Linked DNA regions of Caenorhabditis elegans. The protein of the gene in region 3 interacts with the protein of the main gene of each other region in a pairwise test. Each region holds a gene or a part of one and is shown on either strand. Other genes may lie near its edges. The genes, in order: snrp-40.1, W03D8.8 and brp-1.

Region 1 (3,756 bases), on a different chromosome or scaffold from region 3:
ACCGCCTTCATCTTCTTTCGTATTTCCATTAAAACAATTTTTCTGGCGTACTTCAATTTTGAATTGCAAGAATTCATTTGATAAAACATGATCACTGAAAAATAAATAAAGAGAGTCGGACATAAAGTAAGTTCAAAAATTACATCAAAAAAGGAGATCCAGTGAAAAAAACAAAACAGAAAAATGACAAAAAACAAATTTAACCGGCGAATATGGATGTTTTGAATTTCTAGCTCATATCGATTTCTCCCAAGAAAACACGTTTGTCACTTCCACACGAGAGCACTGAAAAATTGAAATTATTGAATGGTCAAACAATGGAAATTTTAAATTTTTGTAATTTATTTTTAACTCACTGATAGGTTCCTTTGGGTGGAAATCGGTACAGTTGACACTTCCCATGTGACCTGGAAGCTTGTACACAATTTTTTTCGACAGTGTTTCCCAGACGTAGAGAAAACGATCCGACGAGCCAGCAGTGATGAATCTCTCACATGGCGACCAAGAACATTTGAGAAGGTTCTTCTCGAAATTGTGATTATGACCAGCAAAAACTCCCACCGAACGTTGTCCTGGTACGAATGGTCGAATATCCCATTGTCGAACAGTGCAATCCATTGAATTGGAAATGATGAATTTCCCACTTGGTGACAAAGAGATTCCAGTAATTGTGTCACGATGTCCAGTCAGAGTGTAAGTAATCTCGTCACGACGCATGTCCCAAACTTTGAGCACGTTGTCAATTCCACCACTAATCACTTGATCCGAAGAATCATTGAATGTAACTGCTGTCTGCTGGTATCGGTTGGTGTAAGTCTTCACTGGTTCCTTGGTTCTCATATCATGCACACGACATGTTCCATCGTCACTGGCAGAAGCGACAAGAGTTACACCACGACGAGACGGATGGACGGCGTTCACAAAGTCTGTGTGAGTTCTGAAGCGACGAGCGCAAGTCCCGGTTTCCATATCCCAGACACGAACACTTTTGTCTGTTCCACAAGAGACCAAACTGCTGCTGTCGGTGGTGAATTTTAAATCCATAACTGCTCCTGAGTGTCCTTTGATTGTAGAAAAGTTCTCGCATTCGCCGTATACATTCCAGAAGAAGATCTGCAAATCATTGCTTAAAAGGGTTGTTTAGTATGAAGGTAGTTTTATATTCGGTTTTTTCAAGACTATACAAAGTTCTACGTTCAATTGTTCTTATTTGCAAAGACCAATTAATAATTAAATCATAGAATTTAATATTTGAATATAAATTCTTGAGACCACAAGGATTTGAAAAAAACTCACTTTCTGGTCGTATCCACTAGTCGCTAAGCATGTTCCATCTGGGCTGAATGCACCGGTGTAAATTTCTCCTTCATGACCTAGCAAAACCATTGTTGGTGCCTGAAAATATAGATTTCTGTTTGTTGTTTGATAAATGTTTAATATTTACCATCAAATTGGAGAATCTCTGCGCAGTTTGCTGTGGAAATCCAGAGCTGACCAGTTGCTGTCCCGAAGCTGAAATGTTTTATAAAAATAAATTACACAAAATTATAAAATAAACTTACAAGTAACAAGAGCCATCGTTGTGTTGGTAAATGTTGGGTTCCACTGGAAAAACAAATTTGAACACTGGAAGACGTTTTCGAATAGACAATGACGATGCAGTGTGAGAAACGCGGAGACGAGTTGTAAATGCAATGCGGTGGAGCGCGTTTACATTTTCTAGTGCGCACACTTGCCGTTCGTCCTCCCTCCCTGGCAGCAGGTCGGGTCTCCTCTCAATGTCTGCCGGCGCTGAGAAGAGAGCATAGGAAAGAAGGAAAGTAAAAAGAAACAAAGAAGAGTGAGAAGAGCTGCTGTGTGGCAACCAACGACCGCATGGAAATTTGTGGAGGCCACGAGAAAGAGTGCACATTACAGAAAAAAAAACAAATTTTTGCCAACTAGGCAGAAGAGCGTGGTTCACACGGAGAGTGGAGACGACATGGAGATAAACATTGGATTCTGTCCGCTATCAGTTACCTTTAGACGTTATCAAGGCGAAAAAACGCTTGAGGCTACGTACGCATCAGGCTTGCCAAAAAAGGTTCCCCTGGCAACCTGCCAACTCTCCAAGCCATCTCCACTTTTCTTTCCTCCCATGCTGAATCTTTTGTACATTATATCAGTTTAGAGTTTTTTTCCGTTTCTCATTGTTGCTTTTTCGTTTTGATTGTTTTACATATAAATTCATATGTTTTCAGATACTCAGAATATATTTCTCAATCAATTCATTGCGGCACTGATGTTGCAAAGTGATCAAGAGCAATTGCTCCAGGCGCAGCAAGCGTTGAACAGGCTGAATCTTTATCAAATAACTCAGCGAATTGTTACGAATCAACAAAACCAATTTGTTACCCAACAACATGATCAATCAGTTCAACCAAACCATACAAGCAGCCCGGCCTACTATGACGAAAATATAAGAACACGAAATGAGGAAATAGACGGAGCGATTGAGTATCACAGAAATATCCAACCTTTGGAGCACATATCCACTTGTATACTCAATCACATTAATCAATTCTCAATGCAGGAAAAAATGGAGTGGTTACACGACCGACCAAAAGCCGTTGAGACTTTGCAACAACGTTCCACTGTTCTTCTGCATGAATTAAGTAAGTCAATTGTTAACACCAATAAAATAATGTAACAATAATTTCAGCAAACGTTGATGACTTTTCACGCTTGTTCGGTCTCATGAATTTTGGCGAGCGCCAAGTGGGTCTAACGTCAATCCAACAAGAGTATCAGAAAATCCATGCTGTTCTTCAAGAATATCTACAGTTCCAGCAAACTAAAACTATATTGCTTTTGGCTGCACGAATCTTTGGATCGTCTTTACTCAATGGTGGGTTTGAGTTTACAATTTTTACGTGCTGAGTTGTACATCAAAATTTTAACTTTCAAAAAATATAAATTAAGTATTTTCTAGCAAACAAATTGTCAACGTTAGCGTATCTAGCTGAATATGAAATTTGGTTGTTTAGTGCCATTTTTATTTTTGTTAACAATGAAAACTTTGAAGCTATATTTATGTAAAAGTCAGCTAATTAAGCAACAAAACTACAAAATATGGAGGTTTACGTAGAATTTCAATTCAGCAGTTCCAAATAATCAGCTTGCTCAACTGATGTACACTTTCCCGAAACCTGAAGGTGCAATGCAAACCCTCAATTATAATGTTCACAATGGGCTTGGACCATCAACACTCAGCTCACCAGGAAAGATTAAGGAGAAAAAAAGCTTCACCCAATATAGGAAGATTAATGAACGGTTCTCTCAAACAAAATCACCTACCTTATACACAAACATCTTCGGCGAAACTTCGATGTCAGTTATGAACGCAGCCAATGCCATCAGATCCTGGGAAGACAGAAAAGCTGTTGCAGAGCATATTCATACCTATGTTGAGAAGAAAAGTTTACTTCACGAATTCGTTCGCAAAATTTCAAGTGAGATTGAGTTCAAGTTTATAAAAGCGTCAATACTTTTTTTGCAGATATTGGACTTCGAGAGCTCAGTGGTTTCTTTGGGGCAGCAAGAAAACCACTTCCATGGGATGCAAAGGAAAATCAAATCTTTGAGATGGTTTTCCCAAAGTTAGCTGTCTTTTTATACGCAACAAATCGAACCCCACATGTCGTCGCAGAAATGGAGCTTCTCTCTGAACATCAATACGATTTCAAGAAACATTTCAAAACGGCCAACAAGAAAAAA
Region 2 (3,756 bases), on a different chromosome or scaffold from region 3:
GGAATTCTAAACGAAAAAAATGAAGAAAACCTACATTTCCGGGGTACAACGTCTTATTGTAAATAGTATTAACCAAGGCACCGTCATCTAATCGATCATCTGAAAGAGTAAGACCTTATAGGCACGTAGGTAGGCACATGCTTACATTTGAGGCACATATAGAAGTTATTCTTCGACTTTGTTGCCTTGAACATTTCCCCTAGAACCATTCCATTCGAATGCGATTCGCATTCACCGAGAAGTTCTGCAGGATAATCGGCCATTTTCTCCATTTCGAGCACGTTATTTATACTCTTCATACTGGAAAAATTACTTGCCTACATGCCTGCCTACAGGCTTCCACTTACTCCGACGTGCAATTCATTCTCTTGAACAAAGTTTCATTAATAAGATCAGCTTCGGCGATAAAATTATTTTGAGATACAAAAACAACAACGTGTTTCTCTCTTCCGGTGGTGTATGAATAATAATAACTCGATCTGGAAACGAAGAAGGTAGGTAGGCAGGCAGGCAGGCCGAACTCACAATTCTACACTTCCACACTTTTCTAGTCGTTCGGCATTTTCAGCGTCCGTCAGCTTCAAGAAGTCCACAGTAGCTGCTCCACGAGCCAACAGAAGCAAGAGTAGAAAATTGATTAATTTTCCCATCAAAACCATTTGAGAGGAGAAATTGTAGAAATGATTGAAATTGTTAGGGATTCTTGGAATATAAATAGCTAGCGGGAAAGAATAAACGGGGATTTTTGAGACGTGTAAGGTTTACGCGAATATTTCAGGTTCTACATGCCAACCAGGGCTGGGACTTTTTTGGGGCCACAATCGGAAATGTCCGGCAATTGGCAATTTTGACAATTGCCGGTTTTGGAAGTTTCCGGCAATAGGCGATTTCGGCAATTGCCGAAATTGATTGCTGGACATTTCCCGCAATTTTCAAACCTTATTATATTTTGGAAATTGAACAAAGTTAACCTTATTTTTTAGTATTCGGTTAGCCATTATTCAAAAAAAAACGGTCAAAAGGATTAAATAATTTGGAGCTTGAAAATAGATAATTATTCATTAAAATGCATGTTTAGCCTCCTAAATCTATAAAAAGCTTCAAATTTATATTTCCGGCATATTAATCGGCAATTCCGGCGATTGCCGGTTTTCAAAATTTTCGGCAATGCCGAAAATTTGCTTGCCGAACGGCAATTGCGGCGCACCCCTGTTGCATATATTCCTGAGTGCCTATGGACCTACCTACATGCCTACCTTTTATTGTCGCCCCTAAATTACACCCCGACCCTCATAACAAACCTAAATGGCGTCATTAATAAAACTTAGCAGCCGACAAAATGTAGGCCAAAAAACATTTTTTTTCTGTTCTTTTCTCTGCGTTTTTTCAACGTGACCTCGAAGAGATAATACTCGGCCACCAATTTTTAAAGGATCTTTTTTGTGATCCTCAACTTGAAGCAACAGTGAGAGTGCACAAACCTCGGCCATGTCACTGGTTTTTATAGGTACCCACAATTCTACAGAATCATGGCCATAGCCGCGGATAGGGAAAACTAGGCTTACAGAACCAAAGTCATCAGCAATAACGTGGCCTAGAATGGAAGAAAACTCGGCCACCAACTTTTTTCCCTTCTAAACGAAAATTAGTTAATGACGGACAAACTGCATGAACCTCAACCAAGGTCACCCACAGATCCATGACCATGGCCGTGGATAGGAAAAATTTGTCCACTCTTACAAAACTGAAGTGGGGCGGTGGCCGAGGATTGAAAAAAAAACTCGGCCACCAACTTTTTCCCTTCATCGCCGCAAAAAAAGCAGTACCGTTCTTTTCTACCTCCCCAGAGTGCTCATTTTTCTCTGACCAAAGTCAAAATTAAAACTCTCACGAATTGATAAGAAGCTTTTCAACCACCCGCCTCCCTCCAGTCGTGTGATTGATAACTGTGTTTGATAACTATAACAGTGATTTGTACTCTCCTCACCCATTTGTACTCACTATGTTTCGTTCCTTCTAAAACCAAAAACTTTCAGCAATGCCGATTCATGTGGACAAACCGGACACAATGCAAAATGAGCTCATCGATATCGTGGCAGATGGGCTCCGATCGAATCAGATTTACACGTTTCGAATGATGTAAGACTTCAGTACATTATTTAAGTTCAAAAATTTTTGATACTGATGATTGATGTGTTGTGTAGTTTAGTAATTGCTATTTAGGCACAAGGCCAAAAAATGACCGAGGTGGCCGAGTTTTTCTTTTTTCAGCCACCTAGAAAATGCTGGGCGGTATCGAGGCTTAAAAATTTTAAACCTAGACTTTTCCAGCTTGAAACATGACTATGGAACTCACAAATCGGAAGCAACATTTCAAGCGGACCCCGCTGGAAGAATCGACTTGAAGTATGCGAAGCCCCTTAGAGGATCTTATTACGGTAGGTACACAATACCTAGAGTCACTCTAAATCAGATATTTAGATGCTGATCCGATGGGGTTGTTCCTTGGAATGAAGCCATGTGAGGATTTTGCATATGGTGGATATCTTCGGTGTACTCCGCCAGTTCCGTTTTATTATCTGTTGGAGTAAGTTTTATACTTTTTCTAAACTTTTGCTAGTTGCACTTCCTTTAAAAATTTCCGCCACAAGACTATGTACACAAACCCCTGCAAACATACAAAATTTCAGACTCTTTGATTCATCCGGAACCCTTATCGACTCTACCTACATCAAAAAGCACTGGATGCACCCAAAATTGATACGAACCGAGTTAGAGGAAGATTTCTGTGCGACACTCTTCAAACCTCCCGGTGATGGTCCCTTCCCAGTGGTCCTTGATATTTCAGGAACTGGTGGAGGAATCCATGAGCATAAGGGTGCTATGTTAGCTTCAGAGGGATTCGTTGTATTATGTCTTGCCTTTTTCCAGTTCAAGTATTTACCGCAAAAAATGGAAGATGTAGATATGGAGTATTTTGCAGTGAGTTGTAAAATTTGAGCACTAAAATTAGAAAGCTAATTCCAGAAAGCAATCAACTACTTAATTGATCTACCATTCACAAAAAATGTGATAGGTATACAGGGAGTCTCGTTTGGCGCAACTATTGTGGACTTGCTCACCACAAGACATGGCGATAAGGTAGGCAGAATTTATTGTTCTAGGTGAATGGCGCTAAATGATAGTTGACGAACTTCAGCTCAAATTAGTGGTGGACGGCAATTGCTGTTCGGCAAATTGGCAATTTTCCGGTTTGCCGATTTGCCGGAAATTTTCAATTCCGGCAATTTACCGGTTTGCCGATTTGCCGTTTGTTGGATATCAATTTGCCGAAAGTTTCGGCAATTGCCGTTTTTCCGGCAAATTTGGCAAATTGGTAATTCGCCGATTTGCCAATTTGCGTAAACTGCTAATTCCGGCAATTTGCTGATTTGCTGGAAATTTTCAAATCCGGCAATTTGCCGACTTTCCGGAAATTTCCAATTCCGGCACTTTGCCGATTTGCCTGAAAATTTCAATTCCATCAAATTGCCAATTTGCTGGAAATTTCAGTTTCGGCAAATTGCCGATTTGCCGGAAAAAAATCGTTTGCCGCCCACCCCTGTCTCAAATTCTGTCTGCCGCACATACTTTCGAAAAAGTGTTTAAAATTTAATAGAAAGCACGTGCAGGGGTAGCGTGTATGTGTAAATAGTCTGCAACTAGACTGCCATAGAAATTTTTGGAGCAAGTGCAATAATTTGTGCTCCAAAACAG
Region 3 (3,756 bases):
CTGTCAAAGTTGAACAATTGGGGGGGGGGGGGGAATACTAATACGGTAAACTAAATATTATGCTCCTCAAATAGTAACATCCCTTATAGTAATAGGATTTGATAAGTAAGTAAATACCGTATTAACTCTTTTGTTGGTCTATTGAAAATTGCAAAATTTCATAAAAAACCTAAACATTTTCAAATTCCATCTAAATATTTTTTTTTGTTCTGTTATTTTCCTCCAATACGAGACAAAACCTAACCTTGAACCCCCAAAGTGGAACCGTTTCTACTCTGTTCTTTTGCCAGTTGAAGGTGATGTTTTTGTCAAAATATAAGGGTAACCTTCAACAATTTTCTTTCATGTGAAAAATGAAAGACATTTGAAACGGTCAATTGAGTAAGGTGGAGGAGACTCTGCCCCCACAAGAGTGCCCCCACAAGAGTGGGGGAGAAATAAGAAATAATAAAATAAGTAGGCAAGCGTAGGTGGGGGGGGGGGGAGGGGAATACTGTAATTCTGATCGGAGAATATTTAAAATTGTGGCAACCACATTAAAAACCGATAATAACTTATAATAGGACAAAAATAATTTGGAATATACCGTATTTCCTCTTTTAGTTTTGCACCCCTTTGCTCAACTTTGACAGCTCATATCTCATTTTGTTTTGAACATATAAATAATTAACAAACTACAAACTATAGAAAAACATCTCACAAAAATTTTATCAGTTGACAACTTTTCTATGGAACAAAGAACTACTGAGATATGAGCTGTCAAAGTTGAGCAAGCGGGTGCAAAACTAATAGAGGAAATACGGTATGTATCGTAAACTTCTGTATATACATACTTCCCTGTTAGTGTTGCATGTATCAGGGTTGGGCGGTAAATAATTTTTCCGCCAAATTGGCGAATTGCCGGAATTGAAATTTTCAGCAAGTCGGTAAACCGGCAAATTGCCGATTTGCCGCATTTTCCAGAAAAACGGCAATTGTCGGACAGATTGTGGTTTTGCATTTTTTTTTTGTTCGAAATTTCGTGTTTCACTATCAGTCTCATAAAAAAGCCCTCTAAAAACTTCCGGCAAATCGGAAATTTGCCGAAAATCGAAAATTCCGGAATATCAGCAAACCGGCAGTTTGCCGCCCACCAATACTAGTTCTAAATGAATATTTTTTAGAGCAAACGGGCTTTTTCTCACCAATTTTTTCGTTTTAAGACAGTTCTCGATATGAGTTTAACTAACTAAAAATCACAAAATTTACAAAAAAAATTATTATAACTCACATTTTTTAAAAATCATGCAGAGCGCTAAAAATACCAAAAATCATACTAAAACATTTCAAAAAAATGTAGACATTTTTTCGAAGAATCTGCAGCATGTATGAATATTTCAAAAATAATTAAAGCATAAAACTGGAATCAGAACTTTTTTTTTAACTCAAAATGAAAAATGTTCCGAAATTATATTAATAGCTTTACTATGATATTTGTTCATTTTAGGCCGTACTCCACCTTGTATGCAGGCACATTAATATTTATAATAAGAGAAAAATAAACCCTCCGCATTTGAATTAACACATCCTACCTATTTTTACCTGAACCATCAAACTTTGTATATTATACTCTGCCCTTAAACCCTTGCTGCAAAAAATGGAAAAGAAATCAAAAATCAAAGTATCCTTTATCATTTTAAAATTTTTCACAGAAATCTTTATCATCATCTGATCGAGATTTTCTGGTCAAAAACAAAAACGAATGACGTCATTCCTCTCTCAAGTGTACAGTAACCAAGTGGCCGGCTATTTTAAAAACTCGTTTTGTGTGTTTCTTCAAAACTTGGTGTCACTTCCTATCAAAACATCGGGAGATCATTTTTTGTTCATTTTCCTACACCGCGCGGAAGAGTCGTGAATGCCAACCTGTCAAAAATGTTTAATGCTCCGCGAGAGAAAGTGAGCCGCTTCTCTAATTCTCCTATTGTGCGCATTGATCTCTTCTCTTTTTTTTGTTTTTGTCTTTTACTCGAATATCTAATCAAGAATCATTTACAGATGACCAAACTAGGCGCACAGCCCGGCGTTCACGGGAGTGAGGACGTTGAGAAGGAGTCTATCAAGATCGATCCAAAAGTGAGTTTCTATTAAAAATATTCAAATTTTCTGAGAACTGTTTTTAGTGCGAAGTTCAAATTTTCTCATAAAAAAATTTCAGCTGGAAATTCGAATTTTTTTTAAGAGATCACGTTTTGGCGCGAATTACAAATTTTATGAGTAACAAGTCGTAGTGTCAGAGTGTCCCATTTCGGCTTGATCTACATAGATCTACAAAAAATGCGGGATTTCAGACGCAGGCTTCTCAGCTGATTTCGCATGGTTAAGAACATGGCTGACGTCATGTTTTTTGGGCAAAAAAGTTCCTGCATTTTTTGTAGATCAAACCGTGATGGGGCAGCCCGGCACCACGTGTAAAAACAGTTTGCCTCGAAATTCAAAATTTTTCACAAAAAAATTTTAGCTGGAAAATCAAATTTTCTGAGAAAACGTATATTGGCGCGAAGTTCAAATTTTATTAGAAATTTTTTTGGCGCTAATTTAAAGTTTTATGAGAAAATACATTTGACTCGAAATTCAAACTTTATGAGAAAACGTATTTTGCCGCGAAATTTAAATTATCCGAGAATAATTTTTGGCGCGAAATTCAAATTTTCTGAGAACATTTTTTGGCGCGAAATTCAAATTTTCTCACAAAGAATATATTCGGTAACAATAATAATAATAACGTTAGTAGAAATATCAACAAAATCTGAATTATTCCAGGTGTTCACAGTCCTCCAGCCCACAGTGATCCCAATGCCGGCTCCACCAATGAAGCCTGCTCCATCGCCAGCTTTCCAGGCGATGAGAGCATGCTTCCATTGCATGTTCTTTGCCACGTGTCTTTTGCTGGTGACACTCATCGGTTTCTACTTCCTCGCCGCTACTCCTGATCTCTTCAAGGTACAGGGTTTTTTTTTAATTTTAAGCTTTTTTAAACTTAATTAATTGATATTCCAGAAAACCGAAACATCCGTGAACAAGCCACAAATGGAGGCACTTCTAGCTCAACCAATTGATGGATCATCTGAAAAGACTATAAACTCTGCGGAAAATCCAGGAATGATGGCAATTCCCTTGGCTCGGGTAGTTGTAGTGGAGGATATTTCGAATAATGAAGGTCAAAAGAAGACAACTGTTGATGGATCAGTTGAGGAGAAGTCCTCTACCAATTTGGATCGCCCACTTCATCCAGATGAGATTGAGGTTAGTTACCAAATTATACCATATATATACATAAATATGGATTTGTATATATATATATATATAAATATATATATATATATATATATATATATATATATATATATATATATATATATATATATATATATGCATATGTAGGGCTTCCATAGACAGGCGCGGTTCCAGGGCCTGCCTGAAGGGAATGCCTACCCGCCTCAAGCCAGCTAAACTGCTTTAAAAATTTTAGGCCATTTTTTGAGCTGCCATAACTTTTTTTTCAAGAGGTTTTTAAGAAGTTTCATTAAGAAATTCGATATTTTCAGACAATTTTGAGTCTAATAAATCAATAAAAGCAATTTTTTCAGCAATACCGAATGATGGAGGCCCGCCAACAATTCCAACAAATAATGGAGGAACGTATGTACATGCAACAAATGATGGCAATGCGAATGATGAGAATGAGAAGACTTCAAGCCGCCTACTACCAACAAC

Evidence for each region.
Region 1: the proteins of brp-1 (region 3) and snrp-40.1 interact in a two-hybrid assay, tested with the Caenorhabditis elegans proteins (one large-scale study listed by BioGRID).
Region 2: the proteins of brp-1 (region 3) and W03D8.8 interact in a two-hybrid assay, tested with the Caenorhabditis elegans proteins (one large-scale study listed by BioGRID).

Annotation. Positions count from the first base shown.
Region 1 is NC_003284.9:11,298,023-11,301,778, forward strand, and holds snrp-40.1 (U5 small nuclear ribonucleoprotein 40 kDa protein), read right to left. Parts: upstream 1,763-3,756; 5' UTR 1,579-1,762; coding exon 1,563-1,578; intron 1,513-1,562; coding exon 1,445-1,512; intron 1,396-1,444; coding exon 1,297-1,395; intron 1,114-1,296; coding exon 357-1,113; intron 286-356; coding exon 230-285; 3' UTR 14-229; downstream 1-13. Other genes in the region: F08G12.3 (RasGEF domain protein), read left to right, coding at 2,282-2,654, 2,702-2,887, 3,141-3,491, 3,539-3,756.
Region 2 is NC_003279.8:2,789,651-2,793,406, forward strand, and holds the start of W03D8.8 (BAAT/acyl-CoA thioester hydrolase protein), read left to right. Parts: upstream 1-2,036; 5' UTR 2,037-2,038; coding exon 2,039-2,139; intron 2,140-2,331; coding exon 2,332-2,438; intron 2,439-2,481; coding exon 2,482-2,587; intron 2,588-2,690; coding exon 2,691-2,982; intron 2,983-3,027; coding exon 3,028-3,141; intron 3,142-3,756. Other genes in the region: W03D8.1 (uncharacterized protein), read right to left, coding at 35-99, 146-300, 348-479, 526-659.
Region 3 is NC_003281.10:12,018,515-12,022,270, forward strand, and holds the start of brp-1 (uncharacterized protein), read left to right. Parts: upstream 1-2,037; coding exon 2,038-2,115; intron 2,116-2,802; coding exon 2,803-2,982; intron 2,983-3,039; coding exon 3,040-3,285; intron 3,286-3,629; coding exon 3,630-3,756.